Drosophila melanogaster: one gene and its partner. The protein of the gene in region 2 interacts with the protein of the main gene of each other region in a biochemical or structural test. Each region holds a gene or a part of one and is shown on either strand. Other genes may lie near its edges.

The links.
Region 1: the proteins of unc-45 (region 2) and Mhc form a complex in vitro, tested with the Drosophila melanogaster proteins (one study listed by BioGRID).

What each region holds. Positions count from the first base shown.
Region 1 is NT_033779.5:16,764,777-16,769,733, forward strand, and holds the start of Mhc (myosin heavy chain), read left to right. Parts: upstream 1-1,957; 5' UTR 1,958-1,980; intron 1,981-2,149; exon of another isoform or gene 2,150-2,334; intron 2,335-3,000; exon of another isoform or gene 3,001-3,183; intron 3,184-3,807; 5' UTR 3,808-3,904; coding exon 3,905-4,108; intron 4,109-4,370; coding exon of another isoform or gene 4,371-4,514; intron 4,515-4,682; coding exon 4,683-4,826; intron 4,827-4,957. UniProt on the Drosophila melanogaster protein: Muscle contraction.
Region 2 is NT_033777.3:8,031,642-8,037,922, forward strand, and holds unc-45 (uncoordinated 45), read left to right. Parts: upstream 1-1,659; 5' UTR 1,660-1,889; intron 1,890-1,946; 5' UTR 1,947-1,960; coding exon 1,961-3,239; intron 3,240-3,298; coding exon 3,299-4,863; 3' UTR 4,864-5,762; downstream 5,763-6,281. Other genes in the region: CG10903 (uncharacterized protein), read left to right, coding at 1-70, 141-328; CG11035 (uncharacterized protein), read right to left, coding at 571-1,266.

The DNA.
Region 1 (4,957 bases), on a different chromosome or scaffold from region 2:
ACAGCATCTTGACACTAAAATGCAAAAATTGCTTTGCGTCAATGACTCAAAACGAAAATGTTTTTGTGCTTTTCGAACAAAAAATTGGGAGCAGAATATTGGATTCGCTTTTTTCGCATCGAATATCTTAAGGGAGCAAGGGAAGAACCATCTAGAATAATAAAGAAGACCAAAATGTATCGTAACTAAAGGTTTTTTTTATTAATTATTAAATGTTAAATATTAACTTATACCAACTCATTGGCTTTACAAGTACAACAAATAACCCCAAAATAATTTATTGTCAGGTGCTAAATTGTTGTTTGTTGTTCTTGGAATTTGTTTTAAATGCTCAATTTATGTTTTTGTCTTTTTGCCCACAATTCTGCTCGACAATGTCACAGATTTTGTTTCAGAAACTTAGCAAAAAGTATTATAATTTTATATGTGAGAAAAGACTAGAGAGCAGCAAACCCTGCACCGAAAATAAAGGAAAAAAACACTCACACTTGAATGAGAACTGAAATCTTTTTCAAACTATAAATATTCCTCAAAAAATGTTTGAAAGTTGTTTTTGTCCGAATTCATGAGTTGTTTTTTTGCGTATTCTTTTTCCGCTACACAATAATCATTGTTAAATATTGAATATTCAAGACGGACCAACTCATTACGAAAAGTATTTGTCGAAAATACCTTGCAGTGGGTGTATATACATTTATCATATAATTCTTTGCCAAAAATGTTGCACATGAAATTTTGTAATTTTGCTTAAAATTATGAATAATTTCTGTGTCGGAATTTGACATCGTTGTAAGAGGGGAGACTATTTCAATTCTGTTGGCATTTATCATAATTCTCTTTGTCAGCATTATAGATTTGATAAATTCTCGACAAATCGCTACAACACGAATTTCATAATGCACTCGTATTTGCAATCGTATTTGTATTGGATTTTAGCATTGAAACCTAAAGATTTTCGCATCGCATTGCTCTGAAGGACGCCGACTACATTGATTTGATGTGGCATTTCTCTGTCTATCTATCTATATCTAAAGTATCTCTTCAACTATGTGTTTTATTTCGTTTTTTTTGCGTGCATTGCAATTGCTTGCATGTTCTAGCCCATCTATGTTATTTTGAAGTTCACATCATTACTTTTGGCGGACATGTGCTTGCTATGGCCGATCCTTAGGCTAGATAGATCATCAATCATTAACTCAAAGGATCGGGTTTTTTCGTTCTACAACTGAACGATGACCAAACGAATGTTTGTAGCCATTGATAGCATACGATCGGTCTTCTCGAACAGCTGTTTAGCCACTGATCGTAAAGTGATCGCAGATTAGGAGGAAAACCACATAGCGCCGCCTGATCGCAAGCATTCCCCCTGTATTCCACCCACATTGGTGCCAGATCGGATTGGCATTGAGGTGACCAAAAACCAAAACCAGAACAAAAAGCGAAAAATGATCACCGAGAAAAACAAATAAAGATCCCACCATGCCATGCCATACACACATGTGTGCGTCTAGAAATGATATGTGAAATAAGTAAAAAGAAAGCTCCCCTTGGAAAGAGCGAGGGATTCCGGCGGAGAAGAATTGCCTCACGGCGGAAAAGTTGTCATTGAAATGAATTTTACTATTTGACTAATGGGAGAATTGCGAGAGAGCCTACGCAATGGCAATCGTCGGAGAAGGAGCTTTCCGCTCTCGATTCCGCAACGATCCTGATTGCATCATATGCTCACACATATACCATATCCACCATCCCGCAATCCCCCATAGAAATGCCCACTTGCTAGAGAAGAGGAATAGGAATCAGAGCAGCCAAGTGCTAGACCGAAAAAGGGAGCAAGAAAAACCGAAACAGAAACAGCGCCACGCACACCGATCGTCGAATCGAAAAGCTTTCGGGGTCTTACGGGATCCATGGGTATCAAGTTGCCCCGTATAAAAGGCAAGTTTACCGGTTGCACGGTTCAGAACGGCTTTCGAGCGCGTAAGTGCAACACCTTTGATGTGCGATCTCTGATTTTTGGATATTACCACCCAGCAGCAGTAGCGGTAGCAGCAGCATCAGCGGCAGCAGCAACAATTTGACCTTTTGGTCAAAAAGCATAAAACTAAAATAATTATTACTACCTATATATATTTATATATGCAACAAAATCGAGAAATTTAAAAAAGTGTGTGTGTGGTGCTTTAACTACGATCCGAGCGAAAACGGATCTATTAAAACTCTGTGACAATCAGAACAGTGAACCGGAATACCTCGGATTATCGTATCGAATTGGATTACAAATAACAATCTTTTCTTAGGAAGTACATCAGTTACTTAACATAACCTATAGGCGTTAATTTGTTTTCTGAGAAGTATGCAACTATCTTCAACTTCTTGTGTAACAAATCTTTGACTTTCGATCATATCAGCGAAAAAATCTGAAAGTGAAGTAACAAGGATATAAGGAAACTTCTTTCTTACTTTTAGGACTCTCACAAAAAACTAGTTTATCCTTTCTCGCCCAAGAATTTTGGAATAAAAGACTTTCATCGTTCTAAATTTCGACTACTTAAAAAATTCTAAAGCAAATAGATCATTTAAATGTCAGAAAGAGACAGCCAGCTGTTACTTCATCAAATGAAAAATTCGTGTTTCGATGTGAGTTCGAAATGCTGTAATAGCCATTTCGAATTACTGGCGAAATGATTTCATACACAAATACCTGTGTGGCCGAGACATATGCGTATGCATACTATAGAAAATAGATTTAGAATACTCGAATTCGTTGTCGGCTCATATACATGGGCGAAATAATTTCGAATATGTTTTAAAAATAACCAAAGACATTAGAAAGAGATCGCCAATACTTATACATTATGTCTATGTGTGCCATGTGGTAGCATGAGCCAAAAAGCTTCTCGAAATTACGAATTACATATAGACGAATATGTATGTGACTTTAGTTTCGAAATAATTTCGAGAATTTTAAAAATAACGCATTCGTTAAAAGTTCGCGTCAATTCGAATCGAATTTTCGATTGTCGATTTAGTGTGGATTGTCGAAAATCGTTCCGCCTTCGAAGTTTACTGAAAGGAATCATTGCGATCTCGTGAATTGCTTGTATGAGAACACGCCACCATATCGAGATACCTGTTCAAAATATCGAAATCGCGTTCCAAACGGTAGTAGTTACCAGTTGAGTGAGTTGTGGTGACAGTTTAACCTCTCTACATTTGTAATAATAAGCATTGTTTTGGCGTATCAATAGTCTGTAGATTTTTTCACAAAGAAACCTGGAGAAATGTACACAAATATCTAAATGAAAATTGGCGTTACGTAACAAATACCAACGCCCCGAAAATCCGTATATATGCAAAGCATTCTGATATATATATATATAAGTGGTATACATATACATATTCGTATCGGATCCGTGATCTATATTTAGGCGACAACCCACACAATTCACTTGTTGTCTGTTTATAACAAAAACAACAACACAAGCACCGACCAGGCCTAATTAACTTTGAGGTGTGAGATAAAATCAAAGCCACACATAAATAAATATCCGGTTACGGTAACGGGAATTTCGAAAGCGCGAAACGGGAAAAATGTTCATATTTGGAAATCGAAATTAAATTTCGAAATCCTATCCACGCACACACGCGTAGAACTGTTATAGTGTCCGCTATTGCTGCTGCTGTCAAAATGGGTCAAAAGCATAAAATCCATAAAAGAATCAGACTTCGAAACAAAATTCCAAAAATAGTATGCTTTTCTGAGAACCATATAATAAATATTATTTTTCTTTTGTATATTTACAGGGAAGTTTTGGGCTCACGACGCGATTAACAAAGAAATTTTGAAAAGTCCCAATATTATTTTTCGAGTTTTTAAGTTTCTAAACGAAATTTAAGCAAGATGCCGAAGCCAGTCGCAAATCAGGAGGATGAGGATCCCACCCCATACCTGTTCGTGTCTTTGGAGCAAAGGCGTATCGATCAATCGAAACCCTATGACTCGAAGAAGTCTTGCTGGATCCCCGACGAGAAGGAGGGTTATCTCCTTGGTGAGATCAAGGCCACCAAGGGCGATATCGTCTCCGTTGGTCTGCAGGGTGGAGAGGTAAAGTCATCGTCTACACGAGGCTTCAGCATAAAAAAAAAAAAAAAAAAGCTATTGAAGAGTCTTATGGTCGACCTAAAGTGTTAGTCAATTGTTACCCAATGGGAAAATCTTCTTGGTACTACTACTACTACTACAAGAAGGGTTTTTCAATGGATAGCATAAGACTGGGACTTTGTCATGACCTCATACACTTCAATAGCTTATAATGTAGCCACAAAATTAGAATGAAACTATAGATTTCGCCTACATATACGATTAGGTACGAGATATCAAATCCGAGAAGGTGGAAAAAGTCAATCCACCAAAATTCGAAAAAATTGAAGATATGGCCGACATGACCGTGCTTAACACTCCTTGCGTTTTGCACAATCTGCGTCAGCGTTACTATGCTAAGCTCATCTACGTAAGTGTTGTACTGCCAGAAACTCACTAATGTATGGGTATCTCTTCTCTCTCTCTCTCAATCTCAAAAACGAACTGCTAACCCAACGTCTAACCAACAAATGTTGTACAAAAACTAAACATAACCAATCGAACTGAATCCGACAAACCGAACGAAAATGATAAACAGACACGAGACTTAAAGAAAGATCTGCTCCAGCAAGTGAACCCCCCGAAATACGAAAAAGCCGAGGATATGTCCAACTTGACATACCTTAACGATGCCTCTGTGCTCCATAACTTGAGACAGAGATACTACAACAAGCTGATCTACGTAAGTAATTGCCGATCAAGGGTGGCACACAAGTATGCGTTCTATGTTCTTACCCAACCGCTTATCTACCGCCAATCACTCACACTTATGAAAAAAAGAAAAACATCCCAAAATTTTTCAAAATTCGATTA
Region 2 (6,281 bases):
TCTGCCAAGGCTAAGAAGTACTACCTGGTGCTCATGACTGGAGGATCTGCTGAGCTGCCGCAGGCTTTGGGTTAGTTTTAATAATAATAATTATAGAAAACTAATAATTACTTTCACATCATTTTTCTTTGCTTTTGTAGGCTCACCTGAAGAGGAACGTCGTGTAAACTATATAAAGAAACGTGATGCTTGCCGTGAGGCTCGGGGAAAAGCGCCAAAGAAATCCCGCGATTGGATCCTAGCCAAGAAAGAGCGTCGACGTCGCCAGGGGTTGGAAACCCGTCCTGACACAAAGTACACTGCACGCAAGCGCAGCGGCAAATTTTGAATAAAGTTGTTACATTTAAAATTAGTGACAGACCTAATCTCTAATTGCGGCTTTGTCTATATGTTTTAGATCTTGAGTCAGATTAAGGATATTACAATGCCGTTGGATGTTTATATACATATGTATAAGTCCCGCTGCTATTCATCTTAAGTAAAACGGACACATCTTTAATTCACAAAATTATATTGTTTCGAATTTAATTCATTTAACTTAAGTCTATGTACGCTGAAGACTAGAGAATTCTAAGATTGCTTCCCGACTAGTTTTTGTTCTCGCTCTTCTTGATCGCGTCTGTATCGTTCCTTCGCTTTCTGCTTGGGAGTGTCGTAGGAGCTTTCGGCGAGGAACATCAGGTATACGGCCACTCCGGCAAAGATAAAGGCCAGCAGGACCATGTCAGTCTGGCCTGATATTCTGTTGGTCTCCCTTTGCACTTTTATTCGATCGTATTTGGCCTGGGCGGCTTGTCTCCGGTCAAATGATTTACCATAGTGATTTCGCGACCACTCGTCGAAGTCATAGATGGGCGTACGGCCCGCAGAATCAGATACACGCGATTTCTGAAATCGCGACTTGTAAAACTTAGTCTCCGCATCGTCCTCGACTACGGGTTCCGCTACATCGTGGACATCTTGGGCATATTGGGCGCCTGCCGTATGTACGATTCCCTTGTCGTAAAGTCGACGCAGCCGGTAATTTCCCAGAATCTCATAAGCCTGATTGATCTCCCGAAATTTCTTGGCTGCGTTCTCACTTCCTTGGTTCCTGTCCGGATGATAAAGCATCGAGAGCTTATAGTAAGCTGCCTTGATCTCGTTCTGCGTGCACTGACGCCTGATTCCCAGTGCGTCGTAGTGGCTCATCTGGTGGCGTTGACTGAGGTAGAGGCCACGCAGCAGAAGCAGAGGTCGCCACAACATTGGGCTGTGCTGGTACATCTTGGATGTGTTCTTTCGCCCGCTTCACTTGTTTTGGTTTCGTTATATCACATGAAAATTAAAAACAAATCGAATCAGCTGTTTGAACTTGAACTTGTTCACCCTCGCCATCGTTGTTATCGATAGATCGATAGTATTCTGAACCAATGGTGCAGGTACAGCAAAAAATTAGCTGAAAGAGGAAAAAGAGCTTGTAATTGATTAATTTATAAAAGATAGATTTTGAAAATATTTACAGAATAAATGATTTTCAAAAAAGTTTTTACAGATATATCAGAAAAATATTTGTAATCCCTGGCTTAGTTAAAAATTTAAGACTTTAGTAAAGTTGAAATTCGTCAGCTGTTTGGGCTATGATGAAAAAAGCAAAACGTAAGCTCCACGGTTCCAGTCAGCTGTTTGGCCGATTCGCTGCGAATGGCAACTGTTGCAACTATTTTGGTTTGAGTCTTCTCAATTTTTATTTATATATAGAACAGGGCAGCAGCCGGTTCAATAGTCTCACGCAGCGTGCTTGATTTTCCCGCTAAACGCCTGCAACTGTATCTGTGTGTATTCGAGAGCGATCGAGAAGTTTCTGGTGGTCGAAATTTAGGCCAGAAGGCACAAAACCGAACTGAATAGTGAGTCATCCGTTAACAATAAAAAGTTGCAGCTACAGTTTTTGTCTTTTTATACAGAAAATTGTGTAACCATGACAAACACCATCAACAGCGAGGAAGTGTCCGACGCAGGAAGCTACAAAGATAAGGGCAACGAGGCGTTCAAGGCCTCCCGCTGGGAGGAGGCAGTGGAGCACTATGGCAAAGCCATTAAGGCGGGCTCTAAGCACAAGGAGCTGGCGGTTTTCTATAAGAATCGTGCTGCCGCTTATCTGAAGCTAGGAAAGTATGAAAATGCGGTAGAGGACTGCACTGAATCTTTGAAAGCGGCTCCGGGGGATCCCAAGGCACTGTTCCGTAGGGCTCAGGCGTACGAAGCTCTGGAGAAGTTCGAAGAGGCCTACAAAGACGCAACCGCTTTGTTTAAAGCGGATCCCGGCAACAAAACCGTACAGCCCATGCTCCAGAGGCTTCATGTCGTCGTGGAAGAGCGCTCTGCCCGTAATGCCAAGACATCCACAAAAGTCAAGCAGATGATGGATCTTACTTTTGATTTGGCCACGCCCATCGATAAGCGTCGCGCGGCAGCCAATAACCTAGTAGTTTTGGCCAAAGAGCAGACTGGCGCTGAACTGCTTTACAAGGACCACTGCATCGCCAAAGTGGCCTCACTAACAAAGGTGGAAAAGGATCAGGACATTTATGTGAATATGGTGCATTTGGTGGCTGCTCTTTGCGAAAATAGCGTCGAGCGTACAAAGGGCGTTTTAACTGAACTCGGAGTACCGTGGTTCATGAGGGTTCTCGACCAAAAACACGAGAACTGTGTGTCCACCGCCCAGTTTTGCCTACAAACAATATTGAACGCATTGTCTGGGCTTAAGAACAAACCCGATTCGAAGCCGGAGAAGGAGCTGTGCACTAGGAACAACCGGGAAATTGACACTCTCCTAACATGCCTAGTTTATAGTATCACGGATCGCACGATTTCTGGAGCAGCTAGGGATGGCGTTATTGAGCTTATAACCAGGAATGTCCACTACACAGCTCTAGAATGGGCCGAACGCCTGGTTGAGATCAGGGGACTGTGCCGTCTGCTGGATGTGTGCTCCGAACTGGAGGATTATAAGTACGAGAGTGCAATGGATATCACAGGCTCATCATCCACAATTGCATCCGTTTGTCTGGCCCGGATATATGAGAACATGTACTACGATGAAGCTAAGGCACGGTTCACGGACCAGATCGACGAATACATTAAGGACAAGCTTTTGGCGCCTGATATGGAATCCAAGGTGCGGGTCACCGTTGCGATTACTGCCCTGCTTAACGGTCCATTGGATGTGGGCAATCAGGTTGTGGCCAGAGAAGGTGAGTTCTGTTATTGGATTTAGAAAATGGTACTTAATTAATGGTGAAATTTGTAACAGGAATACTGCAGATGATTCTAGCAATGGCTACGACCGACGATGAGTTGCAGCAGCGAGTATCATGTGAGTGCCTAATCGCCGCTTCCTCTAAAAAGGACAAGGCCAAGGCTCTTTGTGAGCAGGGAGTAGATATTTTAAAGCGGCTCTACCACTCCAAGAACGATGGTATTAGAGTACGCGCCCTGGTGGGTCTTTGCAAGCTGGGTAGCTACGGCGGTCAGGACGCGGCCATCCGACCATTTGGCGATGGAGCTGCCCTTAAGCTGGCGGAGGCATGCCGTCGGTTTTTGATCAAACCTGGAAAGGATAAGGATATCCGTCGTTGGGCTGCCGATGGTCTGGCTTATTTAACACTGGATGCTGAATGTAAGGAGAAGCTCATTGAGGATAAGGCTTCCATTCACGCTTTAATGGATTTGGCCCGCGGAGGAAATCAGTCCTGTCTCTATGGTGTGGTCACTACTTTTGTGAATCTGTGCAATGCGTATGAGAAGCAGGAGATGTTGCCTGAGATGATAGAACTTGCCAAGTTTGCTAAGCAACACATACCGGAGGAGCACGAGCTGGACGACGTAGATTTCATCAATAAGCGTATTACTGTGCTGGCAAATGAGGGCATAACAACTGCTCTTTGTGCACTGGCGAAAACTGAAAGCCACAATTCACAGGAGCTGATTGCCAGGGTTTTGAATGCGGTTTGTGGACTGAAAGAGTTGCGAGGAAAAGTGGTTCAAGAAGGCGGCGTTAAGGCGCTGCTTCGTATGGCGCTTGAGGGAACTGAGAAAGGAAAACGCCATGCTACCCAGGCGTTGGCTAGGATTGGCATAACCATTAATCCGGAAGTATCTTTCAGTGGCCAGCGATCGCTTGATGTAATCCGTCCTTTGTTGAACCTTTTGCAACAGGACTGCACAGCGCTGGAGAATTTTGAGTCGCTAATGGCACTCACCAATCTAGCCAGCATGAACGAGAGCGTGCGCCAGAGGATTATCAAGGAGCAGGGGGTCTCCAAGATAGAGTATTATCTGATGGAGGACCATCTGTACCTGACTCGTGCAGCTGCCCAGTGTCTGTGTAATCTGGTTATGAGTGAGGATGTCATTAAAATGTTCGAGGGCAATAACGACCGAGTGAAGTTCTTGGCGCTTCTCTGCGAGGATGAGGACGAGGAGACCGCAACAGCTTGTGCCGGAGCTCTGGCCATTATTACTTCAGTGTCTGTCAAGTGCTGTGAGAAGATCTTGGCCATCGCCAGCTGGCTGGACATTCTGCACACTCTGATCGCCAATCCCAGTCCGGCGGTCCAGCATCGAGGCATTGTGATTATTCTAAACATGATCAATGCTGGAGAGGAGATCGCCAAAAAGCTGTTTGAAACGGACATTATGGAACTGCTGAGCGGTTTGGGGCAGCTGCCCGATGACACGCGTGCCAAGGCCCGAGAGGTGGCCACCCAGTGCCTGGCGGCGGCGGAGCGTTATAGGATCATCGAGCGGTCCGACAACGCGGAAATCCCCGATGTGTTTGCCGAAAATTCGAAAATATCTGAGATTATCGATGATTAAGCGAAATTCGTTTGTAGTGCCTTTTGTTTTTCCTCCATTTCATCTTCTTTACTTTACTCACAGTGTCATCGCGAAATTTAACTTATTTTTCAAAATATCAAATGTACTTAACTGTTTTATAAATATTGTTCGAATTTATTTCGTTTTTAAAGGTAGTTTGTTTTATTCCTTAGTGGGTAATATAATATATTATTTAGTTATTTCATGAATACGCGATTTTTTAATTTAACTAATTTAATACAGACCAAGCCTAATCCAAGCCTAATTGCTGCGGCCTAATGTGATTTGGATTGTAATATGGATGGCCACTAGGATGGCCTAGTGTTTTCCCACCGACTCCATTTTCCCCGGTGCACTGCCTCGGTACGTTTTCTATTCATTGCCACACATTAGTCGCCAGCTCGAGGTAGCTGACTTCCTCTAATGCAGAAGATGCTTCTGATGCGGCAGTGTTGCAGTGTCAGGTAGCCGGGAATTCCGAGCCGAGCATCTCTTCCAGCTGATTGCTCAATCTCAATGAAGTGTGATTAAATAAATAATAGTTGCTTTAATTTAGTTTGGCTCAGCGCAGTGGGAAATGGCCGAGGGTTTCGGTTGCTATGATTCGGTTGCCATGACTTAACGGCATTTATTCCGAAATCCATCCCGCTTTTTGTCTTTGGCCATTTGGCATTCCTTTTCCCGCGATTATTTCGCATTTTCCTCTTCTCCTTAAACCATATACTGTGCTCAATTTGACCAATATAAATAACGTGGTTAGAAGGTAAAGTAATGAGGAAGATGAATTCTTCAGGACCCTTATATGCTAAAGGGATATAAGCTGAAATAAAATATGTTGATGTAAGACCCCAGAAGGAAACAAACTAATGCTTGGCAATATATTTAAAAAATTGGTGTATAAAAACAATTAAGTTAGGGGAATAAACATTTTAAAAAATGGTAAAAAAAGACATTTTAAAAAATGTAAAAAGGATATTTCCGTGGAAATATATTAGCAAATTGAAATTCATTTCTATAGCGTTGTTTAATATTGAAAATCGAGTTTTTCGGCTACTTCATAATAAATGTACACTCTTCTTCCATTTGAGAAATCGATAATAAAGAAAATAATCCCAGACTTAATCCCCAAGAAGCAGAAACTTTCGGTTTCGGTTGTATTTACTTTTTCGGCATTGGTCAAAATGAGACATTTTGTCCTAATTACACAGACGACAGACACAGACCGTGTGGCAAAGAGTTTGCTAAGACTGTGGATCGGAAGCACTGGCTTAGAGCTTCATCGGCTTGATTGGCGACGTACATATGTGCATCTTCACTTTCCATTTAATCTCGGTTTGGTGGCGCGGTGCGGTTCAGTGTGGTGCAACACAGTTGGTGCCGCCCAATTTGTCCCGTGGAAATCGAAAGCCGATTTTCAT